Drosophila melanogaster: one gene and its partners. The protein of the gene in region 1 interacts with the protein of each later gene in a pairwise test. Each region holds a gene or a part of one and is shown in the gene's direction. Other genes may lie near its edges.

The links.
Region 2: the proteins of CG10444 (region 1) and to interact in a two-hybrid assay, tested with the Drosophila melanogaster proteins (one large-scale study listed by BioGRID).
Region 3: the proteins of CG10444 (region 1) and CG10953 interact in a two-hybrid assay, tested with the Drosophila melanogaster proteins (one large-scale study listed by BioGRID).
Region 4: the proteins of CG10444 (region 1) and CG13460 interact in a two-hybrid assay, tested with the Drosophila melanogaster proteins (one large-scale study listed by BioGRID).

Annotation. Positions count from the first base shown.
Region 1 is NT_033778.4:20,271,086-20,276,104, reverse strand, and holds CG10444 (uncharacterized protein), read left to right. Parts: upstream 1-1,605; 5' UTR 1,606-1,866; coding exon 1,867-2,848; intron 2,849-2,905; coding exon 2,906-3,687; 3' UTR 3,688-4,452; downstream 4,453-5,019. Other genes in the region: CG11788 (uncharacterized protein), read right to left, coding at 20-119, 178-1,317, 1,377-1,414.
Region 2 is NT_033777.3:25,238,349-25,242,188, forward strand, and holds to (takeout), read left to right. Parts: upstream 1-1,831; 5' UTR 1,832-1,841; coding exon 1,842-1,902; intron 1,903-2,017; coding exon 2,018-2,258; intron 2,259-2,325; coding exon 2,326-2,465; intron 2,466-2,519; coding exon 2,520-2,827; 3' UTR 2,828-3,320; downstream 3,321-3,840. Other genes in the region: Jhbp7 (juvenile hormone binding protein 7), read left to right, coding at 1-97, 153-354; CG11854 (uncharacterized protein), read left to right, coding at 3,710-3,779.
Region 3 is NT_033778.4:17,164,568-17,168,501, reverse strand, and holds CG10953 (uncharacterized protein), read left to right. Parts: upstream 1-1,858; 5' UTR 1,859-2,046; coding exon 2,047-2,049; intron 2,050-2,120; coding exon 2,121-2,954; 3' UTR 2,955-3,418; downstream 3,419-3,934.
Region 4 is NT_037436.4:15,060,467-15,063,376, reverse strand, and holds CG13460 (uncharacterized protein), read left to right. Parts: upstream 1-1,671; 5' UTR 1,672-1,700; coding exon 1,701-2,309; 3' UTR 2,310-2,348; downstream 2,349-2,910.

The DNA of each region.
Region 1 (5,019 bases):
ATAGCCTTGGATGTTTCCATCAATGCTTTGAAACAAAGTATCGCACACCTCCATCGGTCAATGAGCGAGCGTGCTTGGCCAATAGTGTGGAAACGGACAAGTTTGGGGTGGTAAAGCACCTAGTTATAAAACCGAAAATCAAAAAAACAATCTAGATATGTGTTCATCATTACTTACTCTATGTACGGTTCCATTTCCTCCATCGTCCATCTCTTTTTAGTCTTAAATAGCGCCCGCATGCGATCGCTTATATTGGTGGGCAGTAACTCCTCTGCCAGGGAGCGTATGCAAGGCTGCGCTCCCTCCTTGTCGCAAATGCCCAGACCTCGTAGGTACTTTAAGTCGCAGGACATGCCCTCGGGCAGTACCTCCTGCCAGGTGCGCATGAACTCCTCGTTGCGAAAGCGCAAACCCGGCTGAAGAATGTTCTGTGCCACAATGCGGGAGACCAAGGACTCCTGGTACTCAAACTTGCCCGGGCAACGTTCACTGGGAATGGTATAGATATCAAACAGCCCAGCCACAACATCCTCTGGAGCTATGCCCTTCAGTGCATTGATGGTCTCCTCCCGTTCCACTTCGTCCAAGGCCCAGGAGTTTTCGCTTATCAAACCCAGCATCATGTTAATAATGCGATACTCGTATTCGTACTCCATCACGCGCATTCGCCCGTCCAGTTCTATGGCTCGATATTGGTTCAATCCCTCCATGAACTGACCGCGGCTGCACTGCACCGTGTCCAGGAGCTGCGAAAAGGTAAAGAGTAGCTTCTGCTCCACGCAGAACTCGTTCTCCGGCCCCGAATATCGAGTCAGCTGCAGTAGTTCACCCAGCTTGCGAAAGCGCGGCTTTATCTCGCGGCACTCGAAGTACTCGTGGAACACCTTGAGCACCGGCCGCTGCTCCAGAGTTCGCGGCACTTCCAGTTCATCCTCCGTGCTGTCATTGAGGCTGCGCTCCAGGGAGGCGTTGGCGTTGCCAGTGCGCGGACTCTTCAGCGGCGAGGTGCTGGTGGCGGCGGCAAACTTGAGGTCCGGTACCAGCAAAAGGCTATTGGATATTTCCGCGCCCTTCACGTCGTACGTTCGCTCATCGGTGCACAGCACCAGCTTCTCGTTCTGGCCACCCTTGAAATATAGCGTCTGGCCGTCGCGGATTTGTCCAAGCATGTGCCCATCGAGCTCCAGAAGGCGCAGATTGTCCGAATCCACGTCCGCCGAGGGAAAGTACAGAGCCTGGGTGAGTTGGGTCAACTGGCGCTCGTCCAGTTTCGCATGCTTCACAATGGCCTTCACATCCTCCGGCGTGCGAACGTAGCTATGGCGGGTGGTTGGGTAACATTATAACTCCTACGCAGGCATACCAAAGGCACTCACAGCTGGGCAGCAGACTCATCAACCTCCATGGATTCCATGTTCGCTGCATGTAAACAAAACAAAAAATTAACCAAAACAATGAGCGGGAAAAAGTAGTGGGACCAAAGCACAGCAATGTTGCTTTCGTTGAGGGTATTCAATGGCCTTTCAATATGTAAGCTTAATGTGCTTGGAAAACATTACAGCATTAATCCGCACACCCTGCAAGGGCACACTCACCGCTCAGCTGATCAGTTATTTAACGGTCGTAGCCTCGGCAAGAACGTTTCTTTTTTGAGCGGAGATTTCGCGAGCACGCGTCTTGTTTTCCGCCGTTCGCCGTGCACTTGGACGCGCACTTTAGAAAGCGTTGACTGCGCCAAAGGTCATTGCTGGGCAAGAGAAGCGTCCAATCGCCGCTGGTGGTGACGCTTGTGGAAAAATCAATTCGGACCAGTGACGGACGTCGAACTTCCAGTTCTCTGACAAGCGGAATCCAGTCAACAACAACATGCCCGTGGGAACGTTTGACGCCTGGGATGCGGCCGTGCTGATCACCATCCTGGTCATATCGGCTCTGATTGGCATCTACTACCGGTATACAGGCGGCAAGCAAAAGACCACACAGGAGTATCTGATGGCGGACCAGAGCATGACCACTTTTCCGGTCTCCTTCAGCCTGATGGCAAGCTTCATGTCCGCCATCTCACTGATGGGCGTCTCCAACGAGTCCTACGAATTTGGTACCATCTTCTGTGTGATCAACATTGCCTACGTGCTGAGTACGCCCATTGCCGCGTACTTCTTCCTTCCTGTTTTCTACAGGATGCGGACGACCAGTGTGTACGAGTATCTGGAGCGGCGCTTTGGCCAGGCCACCCGGCTGTCCGCCTCCCTGGCCTTCACCGTGCAAATGGTGCTTTACATGGGCATTGCACTCTATGCACCAGCGCTCGCTTTAGAAGCTGTAACCGGCATTCATCGGTCAATGGCCATCGTGGTCATTGGACTGGTGTGCACCTTCTATTCGACACTTGGCGGCCTGAAGGCGGTGCTCATCACGGATGTGTTTCAGTCCTTCCTCATGTTTGCCGCCATCTACGCCGTGATTGCCGTGTCGGCCATTAAAGCCGGCGGATTCGCGGCCATCTGGGATGTGGCTGTGGAGCGAGGACGCGTGAACTTCATTGAGTTTTCATTGGATCCCACCGTGAGGCATACTTGGTGGTCTCTGATCATTGGCGGCATGGTCACTTACCTCTCCTTGTATGGCGTTAATCAAACGCAAGTACAGCGACTCCTGAGTGTCCGCAATTTGAAGAGCGCTCAGTCGGCGCTTTGGTGGAACCTGCCCATCCTAGGAATGCTTAGTTTTAGCACCATTTTCAGTGGACTGTCCATATTCTACTATTATCGAGATTGTGACCCTTTGCTAAAGGGACGCATCGACAAGCGGGATCAGATCATGCCCCTTTTCGCACTGGAGACTATGGGTGAGTTGGAAAGACATCCAATAAGAATTAGCATTATTTGATTTCTTTTTCCGGCAGGTCAATATCCTGGACTGTGTGGTCTGTTCGTGTCCGGAATATTCTCCGCCAGTCTTTCCACGATTTCGTCGGCAGTTACCTCGCTGTCGGCTGTAACACTGGAGGATTACCTGAAGCCCTTGTACAAGGCGATATTTAAACGGACGCTAATTGACTCCAAGTCCACGATGCCCACCAAGATTGTGGCGTGCATTTTTGGCCTGCTTTGCATCGGTCTAGCTTTTGTCGCTGGCTCCATGGGCGGAGTTCTTCAGGCATCGCTTACCATTTTCGGTGTGGTAGGCGGTCCGCTGCTGGCCATTTTCACACTGGGAGTCTGCACTACACGCAGCAACCAAAGAGGCGTGCTGCTTGGCTTCCTCGTTTCCCTGATAGTTTCCTTCTGGATGGGATTCGGCGGACCCAAACCAAAGCCAGTTACCTTGGAGTTTAGCACAGCGGGCTGTGAGAATGCCACCGCGGTAATGGCGCGTGCCATCGAGCTCAGCTCAAAGAGCAGCGGAGTGGTCATCGAACCCGACTACTTCTGGTTATATCGAATTTCTTACTTGTGGCTGAGCGTCATCGGCTTTCTTATTGCCGTGGTCGTCGGCTATTTCAGCAGCATTGTGCTGGCTCACTGTGGAAAGGCAGAAAACGCGGAAATCTATTTGGACAAGTCTCGGAAGCAGCTGGACTACGATCTCTTCGCACCCATGCTGTCCCGCCGCTGGCGACGCCATAAAGAAGAACAAGACCAAACTGCCCAGGACGAAACGCTCACCAAACTAACTGAGCAGTAGTTCCGCCCGGCTTAGATTTAGTGTAGAATATATACATACATATAAAAGAATTTCCAGAAGGCGTCGGCTATTTGGTTAGTCGTGTTACGGATGTCGTACCTAAAAGTGCATAACTATGTGACCTTTTTGTATACCTGTGTGAACGAAACTGGCATACAGAGCGACCAAAACAGAGTCTTCCATATACACGTAAACAACGATAATTAGTAGTTATTAGTCGTGTTGCAAATGTTCACAAGCGCATCATTAAGAGGCCTCTTAAGAATAGTCAAATGTTTTTTACAAGAACGTATCAAAAGTAGGAGTCTACCTCAATGAACTTTTACAGAGGGACAATAATCAATTTGGAGCCTAAAAGCGAGTTGGCCGACTACTTTCCCATGTTGAGCATTGGCAGCCACAATGCCCCACATAAATTATTGATTTAGTAGTACATCTAATTTTAATGGGATATTTATATTCATACCTCTTAGTTACTCGATATTTGCATACATAGATAACATAATAACATTACAATAATACACTACAGTGAGCACCGCCTATAAATAGTTACTACATGGCTCTTAAAGCATTACATTGCGCCACAGTGTGAATTCTGTTTACTTATATACCTCTACTATATGTACACAAATATACTATAGACTAATTATATACTCGTGTCGTGTCGCAATCAACCATTGAACAATAACTCGGAGCAGTGAAAGTTATGTGTATTTGTAAAAGCCAAACTGCTGATCATTAAAGAAATCTGTTCTACAAAATGTGATTGCCTTTTTTTTTATTTGCTGCGGAAACATGATACTTGCAATCCCCAGCTGCAGCTTGGATTGAAATAATTACTTCGGTTGGCTCATGGGTGTTTTTCAGAAATCACGATTTGTCGAATACTTCCTGCGATAAGCAAATTCGTACGCTATCAGCTACCAAGGTTATGCGAGGCTCTCCCAACATTGCTCACTCGATGAGGAATCTATTTCGGAACGAATGCCATAACTTTCAAGCGTTTACCTTTGCCAATTGACTATTGCGCCATGCGGGAACAAAGTCTAATTGCGGGTCGGAGACAGCAAATTGCTTAAAATTGGAGAAGCCATGGGTCAGCATGTGAATATGGGTTCGCCTGTAAACAAATGCCAATTGATAGATTTGTCGAAACATCATTAATAAACCCAGACCACGCTCGTCTTGCTCATGGAAAGTTTTCAGAACGGATTGGGAGTTCAAAGTACGAATAGACTCGCATGACACACATTTTTGGCTAATGTTCTGGCGAAAGAGGAGACCAAAAGCGGTGGATAACATAGTTACGCCATAACCGATTTTTGTTTACTC
Region 2 (3,840 bases), on another chromosome or scaffold:
CCAAGTTTTCGGTGAAATTCAAGCCGGGCACACAGCAGCGCAATGGACGCACCTACCTGAGCGTGGATAAGCTCAAGGTTCTGGTGGAGCCACAAAAGTAGGTGCAGTTCGGATTTTAGCTGAGATATACTAACATATTTGTGTTCCCACAGGATGAACATTCGGCTGGAGAACCTCTTTAATGGCGACCAGGCATTGGGCACCAATCTGAATCAGTTCCTCAACGACAACTGGACGGAGGTGTGGAACGAGCTGCATCCCTCCATTCATGTGGCCATCGCCGAGATCATGAAGAGCGTTCTCTCGCAGCTCTTCAAGCGCTTCGCCTACGAGGATTTATTCCTCGAGAACTGAGCACTAGTCGTCCTAGTCGCCATCAGGCGCCCTAGGACTTTAGGCTAAGTGTACGAGTATTTCCTCACCTATCCAAGCTATTCTCACTCACATGGGGCGTTGCATTCCGGCATTCCGGCCATTGACACATCATCATCGTATCATCGTATCTGCTAAGCTAAGCTTTAACTTGTAGAATAAACAAAAACATTCGAAAAAAAACTGGTTCTGCTTCTGCGGGGGGCCATTGTTAGCTAAAACGTGGATCTCACTATTTCCGCACAAGTGTCGCATACACTTTTTGTTTCATTTTTGGCCAGCAATCAGCAATCAACAGGCAGCTCACGTGATGGAACGATTGATTCGAAATTTGCATGACAAAGGCATTATTGCTAAGGTGACTATACTTGTGGATAAAAGCGTAGTTATACATACGCTTAAAGTATTAAAACATCCAACAAATTGAAATAAACACCTTAATTATTATGAGCAAATACTTTGTGTCTTAAAAAAGACGAAGATGCATGCTCCTACTACTACTCCTACATCCTGTGCAACTAATTTAGCCCAAAGTGCACTAAAATTAGTATATGATATGATGATATGATATATGACTAAGATCTGCTTGTCTTAGAATCAAGAACTAACTAAATGGCAGTGCTATTAATCTGAACACAACTGTGCTGTCACTCATTGCGAACTCATTTCACTGTCCAAGTTCAAGAGTAGCCAACGGTATAGCTGCCATCCCGATCCCAGGGAATCGGACACCCAGTTGGCCTTGGGTCAGTGAAAATCTTCCACGAGCGAGCAATCAACTGCAGCGATTCCGAGCGAAACAAGTTGCTTTTGTTCTCCACGGGGGCTGGACTTTAAAGCGGGACACTTGGTCATTAAGTTAACCCAAAGTCTAGGACCTGTTCCGAGCTACTACTCCACCGCTACTCCTCCACTGCCCTTCACTTCGATTCGCAAGAACTAAAGCCAACTAAAGAACTGGTGGTCACGATGACTGCGTTGTTTTCGCATCTCAATTCGGCTATATTTGGAACTGGCCCTTTTGTGAGTTGCACACTTGCCAGTTAACTTTGTTAAGGGAGAACTTAATACCATGACTTTTAATTGGACATAATCTGTCTGATACTTAAATTCATTGAGCGGATTTTCGATGTAACTGATTGATGAAGATTAAGGTGAATAAGAAGATTTGCTACATGATCTACTTGCTGTCTAAAGTGCACCCAAATGAGGTGATAAACTAAGGCTTGTATTGAAATTAGAACAACGTTTTCTTACCTAATACCATCAGATGATTCAGTTGCTATTCGTTATTAGTTGATGATTCTGAAACGAGCTCTGGAATTGACAGACAGACGGTTACGGCACAGATAAGAGCTATATCAAAGGTTGCCATTAGACGTTATTTGAGTTGCACTTAGTGGACCACTATAAATACTAGGCGAAAATCCCGTTCGTATTCAGTAACTTAAAGTTATAGACGTGTTAGCATGTTCGCAATCGCATTCGCAGTGGTTTTGTGCCTTTTGGTCTCGGTGGATGCCAAATTCCGTAAGAGAAAGTCCTTTAAAACAAGACCTTGCCAATGAAGTAATAATCTGGGAAACCTAGATAGACACCTACCTCTACTTTTCGGTTCCAAAATAATCCTTTGTGTTCCTCACAGCCGAAGATCCAAAACCTTGTAAGTATGGTGATGGCGAATGTATCATGAAGCTGTGCAACACCCTGTTCAGCGAAAACTCGGCGGAGGGGGATCCTGGTCTGAACCTGATGCAGCTGGATCCGTTGAAGGTGGATCGGATGGTTATTAGCCAGGGTGAGAGCTCCAGTCCCGTGGGCATAACTCTAACCTTCACCGACAATCTGTTGTATGGGATCAAGGACCAAAGGATCGTCAAAGTAAAGTGGGTGCAGGAACAACACTTTGTTTGGATGAGAAGGATGTGATTCAACTTGCCTTGATCTTTGCAGGGGTTTCGGAAGGGATCTCACCGCCAAGCACGAAGTGAAAATTGTCACGAAAACCTTCTCACTCGTTGGACCCTATAACATCCAGGGCAAGGTACTCATTCTACCGATCAGCGGAACTGGACAGAGTAACATGACAATGGGTAAGCTATGCCAATTGATTTTTCAGATTTCGAGGAACTAAAAATCCTGTCCAGTTAACGTCAGGGCAATCGTCAGCTTCTCGGGCAAACCGCTGGTGAAGAATGGGGAGACCTACCTGGACGTTACCGATCTGAAAATAACGATGAAGCCGGAGTCCAGCCACTACCATTTCAGTAATCTGTTCAATGGGGACAAGGCGCTGGGTGACAACATGAATGTCTTCCTCAACGAAAACTCGGAGGCCATTTACAAGGAGACGGCCAAAGCAATCGACCGATCCTTTGGCAAACTTTACCTGGGCGTCGTCAAAGGTGTGTTCTCCAAACTGCCGTATGCCAAGTTTTTTGCGGATGAATCGTGAGTTAGCTCTTCAAAGTGGGCAGAGTCCACATAAAGATACTAGATCATGTTGTTTGCGTACTGACAGATCTAAGTTTTGAGGCTAGCAATCATCATTAGGTTTAATGGAGTTCGTGTTTCGCGTTTGAAAGTGAGAACACAAGTAACTACTATTAAGCCATCTCAGCTAAATAATCTGTAAGTGTTGTGTGGCAATAAAAGTTACATATATGTAGTTAGCACATTGTAAATTATTTATAAGTGATACAAAGAATTCTGTAAAATACCATAAAAACATTTAAAACTATGACCCATTATTAATTAAGTTACAGTGAGTGGAACCCTATAGATCAGGTTGATCCAAAAGATGAAGGACCGCCTGAAAGTATGTGTTATTCGCGCGCGGAGATTCCGAAAGGCAGGGAATATCTGTAACTGGAAAAGGCAGTTACATTAAAAAAAAGCTTGATAAACAATCTTTGTTGACTTAGCCATTAATTAGACGTTGAAACGGGAATTAATGTGCGTTTTGGGGAAGGCCGATCCAATTTGCATATATCGAGCAAATTGCACCCAAAACGCGATTAGGAGCGATTGAATGGGACGGGGTCGATGTCTGGCTTGGGAGTTGGGAACTTGGGAGTTCATTAAAGGGAATCGTAAAATGAATTCGCCGGCTATAACCAGCCACTTTGCCATACAGCCAGCCTGCCGGTTTCGGTTTATAATCCATTTAACTGACTCAACTGCCAAACGGTCTAAAGTCAAATTCTGTGCGGCTGAAACGCAAAAGCGGTTTACGGCAACAAAAACATGATACATTTCAATTGACGAAAGTGACTATATAAGTGTTAACGCCCGCGGCTAATGGATCAGTACTCGATTACGTTCGCCGCCAGCAATTATGGAGCTAACTCTCGCCCTCGTCCTGCTGTTCGGATGTGCGTCCACCTACGGACACGCCTCCGATTTCCGTGAGTTGCACACACCCCCTTTCCGTAATATATAATGTTTATGTATATTTCACAATCGCCA
Region 3 (3,934 bases), 3.1 Mb from region 1:
TTAAAAGAGCCCAAAATCAAAATAAGTTCGTAACCGGTTATTTCGCCCACAGAATTGTGGGATCAAATCGATTTAAATTTATTCACATTTGTCATTATCGTCACAGAATACAGATGATGCTACCAAGTAGTTTTTCATATTTTCAAATCGAAAAAATCACATTATTTAGAAGATTTTCTCTTCCGACAAGCAAAGGTTATTTATTGGCAGAACCCGGTAAATCTTATTAACACAAAGACTGCCACTGGCGTATCACGAAACCGGCTGATATTTGGATATGTAAATTTAATTAATTTAATAAAACGACCTTTACATGGCTACTTAACAAGTCTATCTTAATTATGGGAAACGAAACTGAAAAATCCCCGAAATTGTAGTTTGCACATGCCAAAAATAGACCACGCAAAGTCTAGGAAGTCTAGTTTGACGTAACTATTTATTTTGGCTTGGCTTCGAAACCAGGTATGATGGCCAGCTATCAGAAGTGTGGATGAATATTTGAGTGAATAAACAATGGTTTAATTGAGATTCGCCTATAACGACATCTGCTGATATGCACAACCATAAACCGGGCCAAGTAAAAACAACAACGGAAGCCATTTGCCATGCAAATGCTAAGCAAAAAACCTAGCTGGCCAGCATGTCTAATACGATCGGCATTTACATACATGAAATATAAACAAATGCAGAAAATGATTTGGTCGCCTGGTAGACCAAACTAAACTCAGATAGTTAACAACAAGTTTTTAAATGTTTGCCGAGATGCGGGCCATGAATAGTGTGATTAACAAGTTTGCACTTGAAGTCCAAACAACACCCCGAATAATTCAGCAACCGGTGTCCAAATCATAAAGCAATTATAACATGGTAGTACATGAAGTTTTTGACCTTAATGAAAATTAAATTATTAACTAGTGCCCACTAGCTAGGGATACAAATTAAACTATCACCATTTAGGTAATAAGGAGAAGAGTTATGGAAACATGAATCAAGATGAATAGGAAATAATTTAAGCCGCCGCCAAGTAATGAAGCATTCATAATTAAAAATGAAGTGGTATTTTGAGCATTATGCGCTTTGAGGTCTAAACAATTATACGAGGTGTGGATCATATAATTATGTGTTATTTGAATCTTTTCCTGAGAAAATTTGTTTGAAACGCCAAACCATAAATAGCGGAACCTTGAGATCGAATTTATAATTTTAGACTCAGACGTAAGCTAGACCCATTTTTATGACCATAATCGTGAGCAACTGGTTTGAAGTAATTAATTGGCCACCAAGGGTTCGTTAGGTAACCAAAGTATTGAACTCAGAAAAAAGTATCTTTGTTTTTTTGACAACATACAGTATGTATTTGCATAACCGTTTGGATTGTGGGCGCCTCATTTCAGAGTCTAGACAAAAGATTCCATTAAGGGGCCTGCAAGAACGTCGTCAAAACCGCTGAATACTTTCGGATTCCTCTAATCCAAAACAATAGCTTCTAACATTTGGCGAACTAGTCGTAAAACCCAACCAGTTTCTGTGTCTGCATTCGTTTCAAACGATTATTGTAAATTTCCGGCTACACCAGACGCTTGTGCCAAAAATACGACTTACCTAAATTAAATTAATCCAGCTGCCCAATAAAACCAAAGATGATCCCATAAAATATGCCGTTAGCTGTCTGCATGCAGATAAATGTCATCTAAAAGTCACTTTTGGTGTTGCCAGCTAACACGGCTTAAGACCGACCATCCATCCATCTATCTATATATCTATCTATCTATCTATCAGCATCTCAATCTTCATTCCTTAGATCCAATAAACCTATTAAGCCCGGATCCATCGAGCGCTTCTTCATTCTGACGACCCCCAAAAACAAAACCAGTAAAAAATCTCATCTGCGCTGAATATTCAGATGAGATGTTGACGATGATCTGCGTTCGGCCTGAGGTTCAGTTCAAGTTTTTGGGCTCGGTCTTGTATAAATAGTTAGCCATTGAGCCTCTTCAGACAGAAGCTACTCGATCGCTCTTGGAGTAACAGATTGCAGCTGTCATCATGGTGAGCTTACCCACATGGATGAAGGATCAAGGATTATATTTCTAAACGCTTTGGTTTGCTTGGCTTTTCAGAAATTCCTGGTTGTTGCCTTTGCCGTTCTGGCCTGCGCCTATGGTGATGTCTCCCATTTGGGTTACGACTACTCTCCTCCGGCCCCAGCTCCGGTTTACCAGCCCGCCCCGGCTCCGGTCTACCAGCCCGCCCCCGCTCCGGTCTACCAGCCTGCTCCAGCACCAGTTGTGATCCCTGCTCCTGCTCCAGCTCCAGTTGTGATCCCTGCTCCTGCTCCCGCTCCAGTTGTGATTCCGGCTCCAGCTCCCGTGAAGACGTACGTCCCACCCGCACCCATCAGCATCCCAGCCCCAGTTTACCAGCCAGCTCCTGCTCCCATTAGGATCCCAGCCCCAGTTTACCAGCCAGCTCCTGCTCCCATCAGCATCCCAGCTCCGGCTCCAATTGAGATCCCTGCCCCAGCTCCAGTGAACACCTACATTCCCCCCGCACCAGCACCAGCTCCGGTTTACCAGCCAGCCCCTGCTCCCATTCCCGTGAGCATCCCGGCTCCAGCTCCCGTTTACCAGCCTGCTCCCGCTCCCGTTGTGATCCCAGCCCCTGCTCCAGCACCAGTTGTGATCCCTGCTCCTGCTCCCGCTCCAGTTGTGATCCCAGCCCCAGCTCCCGTTAAGTCCTATGTGCCACCTGCACCAATCAGCATCCCAGCCCCGGCTCCCGTTTACCAGCCAGCTCCCATCAGCATCCCGGCCCCTGCCCCAGTTTACCAACCAGCTCCCGCTCCCGTCTACCAGCCAACCAACACTCAGGTTCTGGAGGAGATCGAGCCCGCTTCCAATGATGGATACCGCTACAAGACCGTGCGTCGTCGCGTCTACCGTCACCGTTTCTAAACTTACCAAAGCCCAACGAAAAACTGTTTCCTAACGAATCCCTACGGGGACTCGCAATAAAAAATTTCCGCCTTCAATTTGTTAAACAAAAAGAAAAGTCTTCAAATTGTTTTCCAATCATAGCAAATCACACGGGAAACAGGAGAATGGGAAACTCTTAAGTTTGCTCTGGCCATTTGAGTTGGAAATTTATGAAACCCGAAGAGATGGCGAGACTGGTGGAATCAACTTGCCATCGGACAGATAGTGTCGGTAAGGCATGGGGCATGGGGCAGCAGAGGATAATAAGGAGTTGCAAGCAAGTTGCGGAACACTCCCAAAGGATTCGATTCGATGGCGGACTCCGCAGTCCTCGCCGCTCCACATTTATCACGAAATTTATGGCCTGGAATGAGCTTTGATGATGTGGAAATTTTTTCTCGTTAGATTCAAAAGTTTTTAGATGCACTCAGAAAGCGGAAAATTTATTTTATACATAATTAAATATATATATATATATATATATATATATATCCGAGGACACAAGAATGAGGTTAAATAAATTTTATATTAGAAATTTCTTAAAAAAAAACTGTTCTCTAATTGTTTTTTTTTTTTTCTTGATTTAAAAATATTAATAGAATTACGTGCGTCTACAACTAATTGTTGTTTATACGATGATTTGAGTAATATTTTTATCGGTGCACCCACACGAAATCGATGATGGTGAAGCTGGAGCTCGGAATGTAGATGGTGCCGAGTGGATTGGCCTCATCAGACGACCACTGACCACTTGTGGCTGCTAACAAGTGGCAGGATGAAATCGAAGGCGCTCCAGGAAGAAGGACATCGACAGACGATAGACGCTGCGGAAAATTAACAAGAAAATGCAGCGACAACTGTCTACGAATCTTTTTCTCTCACCAATTTGATTAGGGAAATGTCTGGCTGAATGGCGGAGACTGTGTGTCCCCGAATCCACCACTTTCTAGTCTGAATTC
Region 4 (2,910 bases), on another chromosome or scaffold:
TCCAGGGCTTAAATTTCATCCTTCACGCTTCCCTGCCAGCACACAAGTTCATTATTGTTATTTCCCACTCCTCAGAACCCCCCCCTCCCCCTCCCACAGTGTGGTGCACTTGCTTTAAGTTTTTTAATTATGCTGCCTGGTTAAGTCCCCCGGTTTAATCCGTTTTAAAGGCGGCCATACATGGCGTATGCGTGATGGGATGGGGGAATTGCGAATTACTTGATGTCTGGCTAAAACACACAGAAAATTTATGACATTCTCAAAGAGGGTGTTTTACTTGCTCGTGGTTTATGAGTTTGTTATATCTATCTGTGCAAGTATAAATATAAATCGTAGTACAATTTTTTCGTACGAAGAAAATATGCAACTTCAGTAAAAATAAACCTAGCACGATAATCAAAGTTACAGGCAGTATTAAAAACATAAGATGCAAGTTTAATTTAATATTTCCTTATTGATTTATATTGTTTGCTATTGCTTTATTTATTTGGTGAACCATTTTTCGACTGCATTGCGAAGCACTTGCAATCAACCTAATTGAAACTCCAATTTGAAAATGGGCATATGGAAACACTTGACACTCAACCATTCGTAATTTGGTTCGGAAACCGTTCTCGTTAATTTATAATTACCTACCTAATGAACAACTGATTCGATAAGCTTTTCAAATAGGCACTTAGTTGGTTCAAGCTGGCATAATTTATTAGAGTATTTCCATATATAAGCGTATTTCTAAATACCAATTTAGTTTACTTTAAACCTTCATCAGGATGAGATTTTTCATACTTTCGGTGCTGTTCGGGCTAGCTTTACTCGCTAACTTTACAGAAGCGGCAGCTAAACCAGATTGGATTACAGTGAGGGAATACACAGTCTCACTTGAAATAGATTAAACTAGTTAAGATGTGAAAATAACAACTTTCTTCAAATGTATGTGTGCACGAAAAGAAAGTCAATTTAATTGTTTAAACTCTCAGTTGGTCGTCTACGTATTTGCAAAAACTTTCAAACTGTCACCTGCAGTCGTGCATACAAAGTTGCAGTAGTAATCATACTAAAATGTTTAACTAAAACTGTGTGCCTTGGCTTGGAAATTACACTTAGTGTTACATTGTTTGGTTAGGAATATAAACTATAGTATACAATTCCTTCTTGTTTATATGGTTGAATAAAAAAACTTTGAGAATGCAAGCAAGTTATTAAGATGTAACTTGGATTTTGGTTTTAAAATCTATAATATTATAAATAAACAAAATATACAAGTTATTCTTTGGGGTTTGAAGCTTACAAGTATGTGGGGAACGAAAAATTTCTCAAATAATTTATTTAAGCTTACTTTTTCTACCATCGAAATTGAAACCCGGAATCGGAACTCAGAAGCAAGACTTTTTAATTGCCGTATTGTTTGAGACAATAGAACAGATGGGAAACATCAAGCTACCAAATTTTTGGCAAACCGCTAATGACAACTATTCAGCAAATCTGTTTTTCCGACCGCCGAGAACCCAACTAAGCAAATATGAAACTACGCAAAACGTGGTTAAATAATTTGCACGGATTCCCAGAAACGAATTTTAGTTGAATCAATATTTGAACTGATTAAATGAAAAGTAAATTATACCCGTAAAAGAGGTGCTCTATAAAATGGGGGAGCAATGGCCAATGGAAGTCAGTTGAAAGTGGTTGCTAGTTTGGAAAATATGCGTCTGTTCGTGGCTCTGGTTTGTGTCAGTTTGGTGGCAGTGTCATCTGCCCAGTTGTCACTGCGCGGAAGATTGGGACGCTCATCGAAGGTGGATTTGGCAGTGGAGACACCCACTTTGCTGGCCAAGACAGCCGGACTTGTGCCCACTGTGCTTGTGAAAAATGCCGGCATAGTGCCCACTGTGTTGGTAAAGAATGCAGCCCAAATCTTACCTGCCGTCAATGTTGCCGCCGATGTGGAAACGCCCAGCATCTTGCCCCAAGTGTCCAACAACATCTTGCCCTACTATCCCCGCTACTGGCCCGACTATGGATCCTATGGATCCTATGGCTATCCCGGCGGCTGGAACAGTCCCAGCTACTGGAATAATAACTACTACGACTATGGAGCACCCTATTTGCCCAGACGTCGTTTTGTTAAGCCCGTTGTGTCCCCTGCCGTGATCACTGCACCCACTTCCACTGGCTCCTCGTCCACCAGCAGCACTACTACCACTGTTTCTGGTGAGGATTCGCCATCTGTGACTACCGATGTCGTTCCCGATCAGTCGGACGCTTCCGAAAATCAGGTTGCTGAACCCGTGGTCACGACCCAGGTGATCTAAGGAGAGGTCTAAAAAATAATAATTAAATTTTATATATTGAGCAATTATTTTTTCATTAATAGAGAAAGTTGGGCGATTGTCAAAGGATCTTATTGCTAAATACCTTGATGTTACTATCAGTAATTTTCTCACAAATCTTGGATATCATTTTAGAGGGTACAACACATAAGTAGAAGACATTACCTATTTTTTTAATAAGTTAAAACCACTTTGGTATACCAACAGGAATTTATAGTTTGTATAATTAACACACAATTGTGATAGATTTGAAACTTAATCGATAATATCTATGATTCAGGATTTGTATCAAAGTTAATTATCAATTTATGGCCACTTTAGGCCTCGAACCAGAACGAGTACCCATCGGCTATCTTATCGCGGTTAGTCCTATATACTATATACTAAACGCTATTTGTCGCATTGAGTAGAGTGCAAACACTGAGCTTAGTGGGGCATTAAAGGTGCGAACTATCCGTTGTCGTGGCCAACCAGTTTTGACCAGCAGCAGAGCCAGAAAAAAAGCAACAGGCTAAGAGCCTGCCATATGGCGCAATATTGAAATATCCAATCAAAATGTTAATTCGAGGATAGAAGAAGAGAC